2 linked regions of the Arabidopsis thaliana genome follow. The protein of the gene in region 1 interacts with the protein of each later gene in a pairwise test. Each region holds a gene or a part of one and is shown on either strand. Other genes may lie near its edges.

What was found.
Region 2: the proteins of CIPK3 (region 1) and AT1G71020 interact in a protein complementation assay, tested with the Arabidopsis thaliana proteins (one large-scale study listed by BioGRID).

The regions. Positions count from the first base shown.
Region 1 is NC_003071.7:11,513,307-11,520,229, forward strand, and holds CIPK3 (CBL-interacting protein kinase 3), read right to left. Parts: upstream 5,387-6,923; 5' UTR 5,121-5,386; coding exon 5,095-5,120; exon of another isoform or gene 4,904-5,094; coding exon 4,726-4,903; intron 4,627-4,725; coding exon 4,564-4,626; intron 4,467-4,563; coding exon 4,395-4,466; intron 4,305-4,394; coding exon 4,197-4,304; intron 4,078-4,196; coding exon 3,997-4,077; intron 3,857-3,996; coding exon 3,803-3,856; intron 3,713-3,802; coding exon 3,587-3,712; intron 3,481-3,586; coding exon 3,391-3,480; coding exon of another isoform or gene 3,352-3,390; exon of another isoform or gene 2,902-3,351; coding exon 2,779-2,901; intron 2,701-2,778; coding exon 2,590-2,700; intron 2,512-2,589; coding exon 2,398-2,511; coding exon of another isoform or gene 2,365-2,397; exon of another isoform or gene 2,314-2,364; coding exon 2,257-2,313; coding exon of another isoform or gene 2,165-2,256; coding exon 2,090-2,164; exon of another isoform or gene 2,006-2,089; coding exon 1,928-2,005; 3' UTR 1,397-1,927; downstream 1-1,396. Other genes in the region: COPT6 (Ctr copper transporter family), read left to right, coding at 1-123; FUS12 (proteasome family protein), read right to left, coding at 6,378-6,716, 6,800-6,890. UniProt on the Arabidopsis thaliana protein: Involved in the resistance to some abiotic stresses (e.g. high salt, hyperosmotic stress) in young seedlings, by regulating the expression of several stress-inducible genes (cold- and salt-induced genes but not drought-responsive genes).
Region 2 is NC_003070.9:26,789,609-26,795,365, forward strand, and holds AT1G71020 (ARM repeat superfamily protein), read right to left. Parts: upstream 3,712-5,757; 5' UTR 3,498-3,711; coding exon 3,204-3,497; exon of another isoform or gene 2,991-3,203; coding exon 2,874-2,990; intron 2,783-2,873; coding exon 2,396-2,782; intron 2,306-2,395; coding exon 1,217-2,305; 3' UTR 941-1,216; downstream 1-940. Other genes in the region: AT1G71015 (plastid movement impaired protein), read right to left, coding at 1-141, 227-453. UniProt on the Arabidopsis thaliana protein: Functions as an E3 ubiquitin ligase.

The sequences.
Region 1 (6,923 bases):
ATGTCCTTTAACGGTGGAGTTTTCATTGTCGCTATCGCCGGATTCGCCGTGGGTTTCATGCTCTTCGGAAGCACTGCTTTCAAGAACCCCTCTGATGACGAGAAACCCTTCGAACAACTATGATCACTCTTTATTTTACTTGGAAAGAACATTTCGTTTGTGTGTATTTAATTTGCGTTTCTTTGAATTTTGATATTTTGTGACTAGAATTTGGAATTTTATGAAGAATATAGCCATTTTTGCATTTTATTGTAGATGATGTAGTCATGTAGATGATAAATTTCAACCACAAATTAAATAACAAACGCCGTCCATCACTCGATTAGTTCTCTACGAGATAAGGTGAACTTTTTATTGATCAACAAAACACATATATCGTTGTATGTACCCAAAAAAATTTATAAGAAAGTAAAAGAAAAACACACGAAGACAAGAAGAGCTAAAATATATTAAACTTCATTGTATAGATATCTAAGACAAACTTAATCCATATGTGATATTCACCCTTTTGGTTTCGTAGATATAAATCCATAACAATTTAAATTCATGTGTGACAGTCAACATTTTGTTTATTCCATATATTAGTTCACAATATACCATCATCTGTTTCTTCATCAAGACTTAAAAGATTAGACGAAGAATAAGAAGAAGAAACCATTTGTGACTATTAATTTCATGACTATCCATGTCATTTTTGGAACTTCCTTCAATATTTTATTTATTTTGTGTGTCAAAAGGATCTTCATCGTAAAAAGAAAAGACAAAACAAAACGGGTGCTGTAATGATGTTGAACGTTTAAAGCCTAACATCAAAACTCACAAGGATCTCTGTTTATCAAGAAGGCTTCTTTATTGAATGCATCTCCCAAAACATCTAACATCAAAACAATGGATTCGCATGCTTCGAACCTTTCTCACTTAGAAGTTCACATAACAAAATATGACTGGCTCACAAAAAGTGTAAGTCCACTTATATGTTCTACACCAATCGAGCTCATCCTAAACGGTTATAATATCCGTAGAGTTGGTTTAATTTTTGTTTGGTTATTCCATGGGAAAATAAATTACAAAGTTAAAAATTGCCAATATTCAGTCATTAAAACATGAAAGAGGATAACTAAGCAAAGTTCGCAATCTACTTATCATCTATTTCTTCTACACTATCATGTCATTTTTGGAACTTACATCAAAGAATTTTCAATTAAAAAAACAAAAAAAAAAAAACAGTTTGGTTACAAACTTGTAACTAAACTAATGACAATTATAAAATCATCAAATAGTTAACCATAGTTCCTAGCTATAATAATGGTAATTAAAGTCCCAAATTGGGCAAGACAATTCCTGAAAGGCAGAAGAGGGAAGATGAGATCATCTTAAGAGCACCAACTAGTTGCCATGATTTTAAACTAAAATCTTTGAATCATGGTGCTTCTCAAAACAAAATCTTAACTTACATAAATAAGAATAAGTAAATATAAAATGAAAAGCCCTAAAAACTTATAACTTCAGGATGGACATGAAGCTATCATAATGATCTGAAACCGTCATAGTAAGGTTACTGAATTCCTTATGAGTGGAAATAGGCAGTCCTTCGATCATGACATTTTTGATACGTTCCATCTTCAAGTTGTAAAAGAAAAGACAAAACGGATCAGATAGTTTTTTTGAAACGAGACAAATTTCGCCGGCACAGAATAACAAATAGAGCAATGAGGCATTTTCAAACTTTTAGCCAACAAGCTTTGATATGACTTTATAACTGGCATCGCAGCACCTTATCGAGTAATGCAGTTCATATTTACACCTTTCTTTTACACAAAACCAATCCCACTCCCTTTCTCATCATCCACACAAAGTAGCCGGTAAAGCAAAAAAGCTCTTATACACAAAGAAAGCAAGAATTGTCCCAAAAGAAAACTCTCATACATCACTTTGCTGTTTCTTTCTTAACTTCGTTATTCGTCCAGACTACTTGCTCCAGAGAATTAGAGAGCTTCTTATAGAACTGCAAACAAACCATCATCTCTGCTTAGCTCATAAACCAGTTAATTACCCTATCATATAGTCGAAACCAAGCTATTTGACTTACCTTGTGAAATTCGAGAGTGTCTCCTTTCGACTTCGATACTTGAACCATATGAAGACTTGGCGCTACTTGGAATATCTGCTTGTTGTCACACCATACAAACAAAAAACACACTGATTCAATAAACCATCACCAACACTTTCTTGAATGTCCAGTCTCATATAACATACCTCTGTCGCTACATTGAGATTCCCCTTTCTTCCAGCCTTCACATTCTCAAGCCTCATCTGATTTCAAGTAATGTACTACGACGTCTTTAGTTATTGATTCTTTTCATTTCATTTCATTTCCGTTACAGAGTTTTCACTAACCTTGTAGTTCTTCTTTTGAACATCGAAACCGAGAGGCTTTGCAGCTTCTTCTATCTTCTCGATGATCTCATTCGCGCCTCCTCTCAATGTTATCCTTGTTTCCCTCTTAAATTCCTGTTTTCAAAATAAAATATTCCGATCTCAGAATATGGAGACAGGAGAGCCAGTCTTTTATAGGAACAGAACACAAACCTGTTCTGGATCAAACAGATTCTCTAGGTTAAGTCCCCTTGACATTGAAATGATCTCGAAGGCATTGATCGCCGCTGGCTGTTCTTCTCTCTTCTCAGTAACAAGATGTTCCTGTATATGATCATCACATGCGTTATGTGATGCTCTTGTTAAGAAAAAATGAAAAAGAAGAAGAAAAACTATCCACACCTCAGAGTCCTTGAAAACAGCATCAATATCGTCCATGTTTGAATCATCCCTCTCCTCGAAAACAGGTGGCTTGTAATCTTTCTTGAACCATTCATCTTCGAAAACCTCTTGCGGTGTTACACGCTGACACAAAACCAAATCAACTCAGTTTCTTCAAATTGCATAGGAAACAAACAATCTAAATAATAGTGAGTGTTTAGGATCCTCATTCTCCGGTAATCAAAAGACATGTTTATTCGATTAGTATGCTTAACCAAGAACTAGTGGTTGATTTTTGCCAAAAACAAGGGAACAATCAGAAACTGTGCAATGAAATGAGAGATGAAGCAGATAGAGTTGTACATGTTATTATGCATAACACAGGTTCCTCAACTTTTTTTCTCCAGCCCTTTTGTGCTGGAAAAATGGAAAACATGGTTGAGTAGTACAATAAATCATGGTGCAAAGGAAGGAATATAGAGCTCATTACTCAACTCTCAAGGGTTTTTAAAAGCCATAAAGTTCATGTTTGTGTGAAAATTCTTAGCAATGGACAGCTTTTCGCTCCAACAGTTGTGGACAAGTAAATGCCTTTTATTTAGAGGGGTATATGAGCATGTAAAAATTACTTACAGTCATCGGATTCGGATCTAAGATTCTAGTGATGAGTTTCATGGCACCGAGTGAGAGCCACGGAGGACAGTTGAATTCACCAGATGATATCTGCACCAAACCACAAAAATGCCGAAAGGGAGTTATAAAAATCCTAAAACAAGCATTGCTGGAAGATTCCATCTAAAAGAGAGAATTTTAGAAAAGAGTTGCTCACTTTTTTATAAAGATTCATTAGATTAGAATCATCAAAAGGTAAGTAACCTGCAAGCAGGACATAGAGTACAACACCGCATGACCACATGTCAGCTGTTGCTCCATCATAGCCTCTATCATTGAGAACCTAAAACCCGCAAAGATGTCGGTTATAAAGACGTAAAATGAAAGGATAATATTATAAGATATAAAGAAATCATGTTTGTTTTAGGCAGACCTCAGGAGCAACGTAGTTTGGTGTTCCACACGATGTATGCAAGAGTCCATCATCCTGATATCCCCAAGCATATAAACCATGTTTAAGAATAGATATATGTATATAATTTTTGACAACAAAATCCGTAAGTTCTTAGGAAAAATGAAACCACTTCTTGGAACAGTAAAATACTTATGGAAACAGATGGTCATTACCCTGACTTGTTGGGACAAAGCACTTAATCCAAAATCTGAGATCTTGAGGTTTCCATAGGAGTCCAATAGTAAATTTTCAGGCTGCAAAATCACATTACAATAGTCAATTACTGGCTTACTGCACATAATATATGCATAGGTAACTTCTCTATCAATATACCATGTTTCAGTCCTACCATCTATAAAAACAATGTATGTACCTTGAGGTCTCTATGGTAGACCCCTCTGCTATGACAGTAGTCCACAGCATGTATAAGCTGTTGGAAATATCTCCGCGCCTCATCTTCTTTCATCCGCCCATCATTTACCTTCATTCATAAGTTATCACTATCAGATTTCACAACTATAATGTGACATCACAGAATCACAACCATTTATAATTGTGGTAACTAACTTACAATCTTATCAAAGAGTTCTCCTCCTGTAACATACTCCAAGATGATAAATATTTTCGTCTTACTTGCCATCACCTGCAACAACAACAACCAGTACAATTTCGAAGTAAGTAATTTCCAAGTACATAGTACATAATCAAATAACACATTTATCTAAAGAAGTGTTAATTACCTCATATAATTGAACAACATTTGGATGTTTTATCAACTTCATAGTAGCTATCTCTCTTCTAATCTGTAAAATTCAACAAAAAAACACAAGCAAGATCAAAATCAACCGATAAAAAACCGCAATGCGAAAGCAGAGTATCCATAATTCAATAATAACAAAAACCTGTTCAGCCATTTTATGCTTGAGAACTTTCTCTTTATCAAGAATCTTGAGAGCAACAGGTTCTCCAGTTTCAGAGTTTCTAGCAAACTTAACTTTAGCAAACGTTCCTTCTCCAATTGTTCTTCCAACTTCATATTTACCTACTCTACGTTTCACTTGCTGTCTCCGATTCATTTCTCTAACCACACCACAAACAAATATCACTCCTTCAGAAAACTTAGAACAAAGAACGAAACTTTAGAGGATTTGATTGGAAACAAGAAAAGGGTAAAGAAGAAGCAAGACAGAGAATATCTCAATCTTATATATATATATATATATATATATATATATATATATATATTACTTATTTAAAAAGCAAAAAAGAACCTTAATTTTTTGTTGGGGATCAACATAAGAGAAGATCTGATAGCTACAGAGAGATTGAGTGAGAAAGAGAGAGATTTAAAATGGCTTTTGAGAGAGACGAAGAGACAGAGGTCGTGATAAACGATGAAGAAGAAGAAGAAGATTTATTTTGATTATTAAATTTTTGTTGGAAAAATTCGTTTTTGGTGAGAAGTTACAGTTTTGCTTTAAGGAGTTTCAGTAGCAGACAAAGATCCTTAGAACAGAAAGAAACAAAAATTAATTGCTGTCTTTGGTCTTTTTTTGAGTTTTGTAACTTGTAACCACTAAAAAAAAAAAAAAAAAAAAAGGCACAGTAACCGATTTCAAAGTTTTAAGATGATGAACTCAATTCGGATCTGTTTTCTCTTTTCTTTTCTTTTATTTTATTTTGATATTAAATTTCTTTTTTTAATGTTGAATTATTTTTGCCAAACAATTCTGAAATAATAATGATTAAAAATGATAATATTAGTTTTTTTTAATGGATCAAAGAATTGGGGCGAATTTTGTTGTGACTAGTGAAGATTTTGTTTTTTTGTTTTTGTGATGAATGTTTGTTTATTGACTTACTGATAGTGACAATAACTAACAAGATTTTTCGATTTAAGTAATTTTGTCTTCCACAAAAGATTGAACATGTAAAAGATACTAATCTGTTGTAAAAAAAAAAGGACAATACTAGGATCTAATCTAGATGGTATACCACCAGATAAGTTTGTATTTTTATATATAATAATGTTCAATTTTTATATGGACAAACACATTTTATGCAGCTTCGCTTTAACAGTCTCAACTTGACTGACATTTGATATATGAGAGTTATAGTGCAGAGTTTACTTTGAGTTGAATGGTTATTATAAAATTTAATCAGTGGCAACTGGCCCACTGGCCAGTGTGTAACAACAAGCAAAGATCCAGAAAGATTGACAAATTAAAAGCTAATTAAATTATTCGAACCTAATTTTCTTGTTCAGATTTGTTTCACTTTTAATATTCATAGTCGTAACCTTACTCGAAAAAGACATCCACGTTATTTGTAAGAGTTCCGGTGCATATCACCCATCGCTTGCAATTACTATCTAGTTGCTGCAAAGTTAAGAAATCAATTTTAAAAATGAGAATGAAGAAAAGTTTCAAATCCTTTTTCTTGGCATTGAAGTGGTTTATAAACTCCATCAAATCCAGCTATGTGAAGAGAAACAGATAATCCACAAAGAATCAACGCCAAATCACAAAATCTATCCAAAAGAGAGGTTTCCAAGTTAACAGACTCGGCTGGTGATATTTGAAGAAAGAGACTTGAGCTGTGAGTTCCATTTATCAACCGCCTTATGCAACTTCCTTCCATTGCCACTGTCGCCTCTCAGTAAGTAACGGTTCATTTCATCAATGTGACCATCGATTCTGCTGTCGAGTATCAGCGACACTAGTAACTCCGTCACATCCGTCTCTGGCACGTTCAGTTCCTTTGATATGAACGGAATCCCTATCTTTGTGTATGGCTTAATCAGCTTCAGTAACACTTGTGTTCTCACTTTCTTCAGCAGATCTTCCATGTAGTTTCTGATGAATGGATCATCCATTATCGTCCTCCGGTTACTCTACATTCCAAAAACCATTCCATGAGTGTCGTTTTCATATATAATGAGTTGAAAAAACAACCCAATAATACTTCACTTTTTACCTTTAGTATTCTCTCAAACTCTATGATCTCATTTCGTTGATATGCTGCGATCAAATTTGTCATTGCCAAAATCTCAGGGTCGTTTTTGTACCTGCAGAGAGCCAACTATGAAGCAACGAACCAA
Region 2 (5,757 bases), on another chromosome or scaffold:
TCATCATTAACCTCTGTCTTCTTCTTCATTACCGAGAGATCAGATGATGATCTACGAGACAGCTTCAGATTCTCTAATCTCTCCTTCGCACTCATCTGGATTCCCGACCGAACCCTTCTTGGAGTTCTCTCTTTCCATGTTCTGTCACATGGGTTTTAAATGATTTACTCAAAAAGATTCTAACTTTGATACCTAAAACTAAGTAGAAAATTGAGGAATATAATACCTTGGAAGTTCAACCATGAAGTAAATCCTTTTGGATTCCAAGTTTTGGTGAGGCTCCAAGGGCTTTGCTCTGATTCCTAAACGCTTCACTGCTTCGGATTCCAAGAGAACGTGGCCTGGAAAATCTTTAACCACTGTACCAGCTTCCACAGGCGTTTTCAGTTTGAAACTCTCGCCATTGATGTTCATGATTGTCGCTGTTTTCTTGGTTCCCAAGCTATTTCCCATTTTGGTGAATGATGTTGTGTAAAATGTTAGTATCTTTTAGGTTCACAAATGAGATGAAAAAACTTTGTAGGTTGGTGTCTATTAAGAGCTCAGTAGTTCAAGGTGGGTGTTGTGTTAGATCAGATCATTATAGATTTTGGATTTGATTTATGGTTGGTTGCTGATGATAGTGAACCATTTCTTGGTCAACAAAATGCCAAAATCTTGAAAATTATTAAAACAATGAGAAGACAAAAGTTACGTCGCATTTCACTATCAATCTTGAAAAGACCAATAACAACCCAAAATTTATGCTTAATTTTATAAATAGAAATGGAAAATGTGTACTGTTCTTCACTTCGACCATAGTATATTTTGTACTATGTGATTTTGGAAGTTTTGAGACCAATGTTTTCTGAGAAAATGACACTTGCGTTAATCGCTCCGATTAATCTGGAAAACTACGTTGTCGAAACATTTTTTCTCAAAGACACGTGAAGAGATTGACTTTTAACGAATTTGAAAACAAAAAGCTGATTTGATTTCTCTTTCTAGGAACAGTAACAACACACGACCTTTATCAAATCATATGAAACATTTTTTTTAACAAAATTAACAAATCAATACAAAGATGAGTCAAAGAGTTCGATTCTCGTTAACTCTTTTGACTCCACCTTCTCCTCAAATGGAAATTAAATTAGTCTTCCAAAAACTCAATAAGATACAGGACATAATAAACAGATCAATAGCCAGCAAAACTAAATTAATTCATGTTAAGGGCTATTTAGAGTGAACCTAATTTTCGGGATGATTTACGGAGAAGCTCTAGTAAAGAATTAGCTTTTCGTTTAGCTCTCTCTGTACCGTCTCTTGATAGTTCCATCAATGGAACAACAGCTCCAAGTCTACCAATGGAGATCAGTTTTTCAGTATCTCTCTTGCAAAGACACAGTAGTATCGCAGCTGCGTTCTCTCGGTTTCGCGGTTGATCCTTCTGGAGACAATCTATCAAAGGTGGTATTGCGTTGGCTCTCAAAATCGCAGTTTTCGCGACTTGGTTACTAGCTAGAACCGAGAGTATGGTCAAGGCTTCATCAGCCATCCTCTCGCTCGAGGAGTCTGTCAGCATTTTCACCAATGGCTTTACTATACCGGCTCTAACTGCTCTGCCTTTGTTTCCCTGGTAAATACACAAGTTGAACAGAGCCGTAGCTGCGTCTTTCTTCCCTCTGACGCTTCCATATTGAAGCAGATCCACTAAGGCCATTATCGCACCTGATGCGCCTATAATGATCTTGTTCTCATCAGCTAACGAAAGACTAAAGAGAGTAGCTGCAGCGTTTTCTCTAGCTTCCATGCTTCCAGCTCGGAGGACTAGCACTATAGATGTGACTGCTCCTGCAAGCATGATCAGTTCTTTGTTGTGTTCGTATATGGAGAGGTTAAGAATGCAAGTGACAGCATTTTCCTGCGTTTCAGTGTCACCATCTGAGGTCAAAAGCTTGACCAAAACAGGGATGGCTCCTGCCTCTGCAATCAGAATTCGGTTGTCTGTGCTTCTTTTTGACAGAGAGCGGATTTCAGAAACCGCAGTCCTGCGGTCTTCGATTGATTGGCTAGAGAGTTTACAAACCAATGCTCGGATCGCTGACATATCTCCACTTAGATCACGGAAAGACCCATCACTGTTTTTGGTCCTACCGTTCATGTAACCACCTGGTTGCTCAATGTTGTGCTTAGTGCACCACTGAGATATCAGGCTTCTGAGGACATAGTTTGGAGTAAGAGTAAAGTTTTCAAGTTTCTGCTGTGTCTTTGGGCAGCTCAGATTTCCACAGTCTATCCATCTCTGAATGAACGACCTCTCGTATGTCTGCCAACGAAGAGAGAAGATCATTGTTAAGGTTTCAAATCAACAACCATACGTTAGCACTATATAAAGATTTGATTTTTTAAACCAGACCTGTCCTGTGGAAACAATAGCAGGATCCTTCATCAGTTCCAGAGAGATTGGACAAAGAAAGTCCTCTGGAATCGTGAGATTATCCGATTTCTGTGAGTCATCGCTGTTCTCGGTAACTGCTTTCTCTAATCTCTCATCATCACCATCCTTTGATAAAAAGAAGGCCAATGATACTGAAGAGCTCTTCCAAGGAGGGGGTGATTCAAATTTCTTCTCATCTGATAAAGAATGCACTGTCTCTGGAATACTCTCCAACTTTTCAATAACTTTTCTATTACTTGAGGCATCTTTCTCCATTGGCTCAGATAAACCACTCGAGAACTTCTTCGAATTTAACGATCCATATCTCTGCATTGCTCTTCTTAACTGTAATCTTGCTAGTTCCACCTAATCACAAGCAAAAAAAAACCCTTAGAAACACCTCCATGGATAGGAAAACCAAATCTTCATACATTCTACATAATGAACAAACTTTTACCTGTTCACGGACTTCGTCAGAGATATCATATCTATCATATGTCAAATCACCTAATGCTTTCTCCAGCTTCCATGTAACACATTGGAACTGGAATGAGATCCTCTTGGCTGCCCCATCCTTCAATCAAAATCACACATCAAAGTTTAGAGAGCTCCTCATGTATATATTAATAATGCTCTTCACTACACAAATGTCAACAATAGTATCTTCCAATCTAAAAAAACTAAAAACAAATTCTTCCTATAAATTACGTTCCTGCCATGGCGAGACCAAATCTTCGTGAAATCACAAATCCATTTTCAATCGTTGAGAATGGTTTAGAATGCTTACAGAGGACTCGCGAGCTTGGAAACTAGTAGCTGAAGACAAAAGACGCTTCGCGGCTTGAAGTCCCACCACAAGATCAGACCACCAATCACATTCATGAGAATTCAACGAAGAAGAAGCATCAGATTCCGACGGCGGAGAAGAATCCCTGATTTCCTCAATCAAATGCGTCAGGAGACCGACTCGTCGCGCGAGATCGGAACAATCCTTCTTAAACAAACCAAAATTCCCCGGAATCTCATTGATTTCAGCAATAAGACCGATGAGAGAATCGGGAGTGATAGCTCCACCAGCCATTACGCCGTCTCACACGGCGGCTTAAAATTCGAATTTTTGTGACTCGCTCTCTCTCTCTCGCTGGCTCGCTTCTGACTCAGAGATGCGTCTCTATCGCTTTTATGTATCCAACGAAGCCATGTGGCGAAAAAGGATAAGTCGCTGTTACGACACCGTTTTGGTTTTAGTGTTTTTTGTTTTAAACTTTTTATCTAACTCTAAAAATGGTTTTTTCTTTTCTTTTTAGTTTACTGGCTTTATATTTTTAGATAAAAGTTTATGTGATACATTTAAATAATACAATAGAACAAACTAGATAATTGAGAGCGAGATTCACGGTGCAAGTAGAGGTTGAAGAGAAAATGATACAGTTGTCAAAAAAATAATCAATTATTATCATTTATATTAGATCAAAACTGTATAATAGAAATGAACTATACTTTTAAATTCAATAAAAAAATCCACTTTTCTATTTATTGAAGAAAATGGTTTGTTGTGTGCTTAGTTGTAAAGTAGATCTTATATGATTGTATTTTATAGTTGTGTTGAAATTTATGTTGGAGTTATGAAATTTATCTGTATGTATTATTTATGTAATCTTAAATGGTAATAAATAGTCAAATTAGTTATTTTTTCTATTTGAAAAGAAACTAAGATAAAATTTCCAGGCCTTTAGATGCATTGTATTGACATGTGTTTCTAGTATATGATCTGTCTTACCCTAGTGTTTATTAAAAGATGGAAAAAATCTTCTTTGTAATTAACTAAATATAGCTTTACATGTTTTATTTTCCCTTAAAAATAACTTTGTATGTGTAAGAAAATTTAATATCTCTTACAGCAAAAATGTTCTAGAAAAATTATGTCAATTAACATAATTTTGGTGAGTATTATATAGCCTGCAAATGGAACGGTCGAACATGACCCGGTAGATCGAATTTTAACAACATTTTAGATAATTTGAAGCATGTATACAAATTGGGACCTATAATTTTCTTAAAACTGTTTTACCACAGTTTAGTATACTTTTGATTAAAATTTATAAACATGACTTACATATAGTTTGTGACAGTCTTGTATTGAAAAGTTATCTCGGTTTAACAAAAGAAAGGTTCAACCACGACATCCACATCATATCGGCCGACGTCCATGCCCGTGACTTCTGCGTCCTACATAACAACCGATAGCAACTTGAAAAATAGACAACATTATCTTTTAGACATTTTTGGCAAGTTTGACTGGCTGGTTTCATAATTATTTTTGGACATATGCAAAAATAAAAAGATCTACATAAAGAAGAGGGTATTCGTCTGAATCAGATGAAGATTAATAACCTTGAAGTGTTTGATGAGGCATGTGATTTTTGCTTGCACATCCACACACAACTCTCCATTAACCACAATACTCACCGTTATTTCTGAAATTTATGGTGTAGTTGTACTTGCGGAACAATATGAAAGTGAAGGTGAGATCAGAGTTTATACAGTTGTGGAAACAACTTCTTTGATGGTTGTAGATCCCGCAATCGTAGAAACAACCTTAATGATGATTGTAGTTTCGATGATAAATATTGGTCCATTTTCTTAGCAAACAATCTCCTCTTCTATACTTGTCAAACATTCATATTCTTTGGTCATGCAATTTTGTTTAATATTTGATGATGTTTGAATAGCGGTTGTACAAATGTATTTACTTTCTAATTTTTATTTTAAGCATGTATGAAGATACTTTAAACAAATTCATTGTGAGTTTTGTTCAAAATATATGTGAACGTGTTTGTACTAGTTGGTGCATATTTGACCGTATAGTCTCCATGCTTAAGACATCCTTAAATCGATACATTTCATTATTTTATAAGTTAACTAATTTGCTTCCTTTATATCTTTAGTAAGTAATTTTCGTATTTATAGATTCCTTTGTGCGAAACGAGAGTTTGAAATTGCTTTTGAATAAAGAGTAAAGTGTAGTTTGGAGGAAAATGAACATACTTGTCCATTTTAAGAGAGTTAATTAATACTTCCCGTCAATGTGCACCGTTAACATTGCTGTATTAGCTATAATTTCTTACAGCTTGATTGATCAAATAAGCAGCGGTTATCGTCGGTTAGTTATTAACGATCTACTATAATACTAATCACTGAAAACAGAACCGGACATTTAAGAGAATAGTTGTTCAATGACCAGCCGGTCCAATTCAGGATTAACATATTTCAAACATCGTTATACCATCTCTCTAGTGAATATTATAATATGTGCATTTGTAATATAACAAATGTGTACA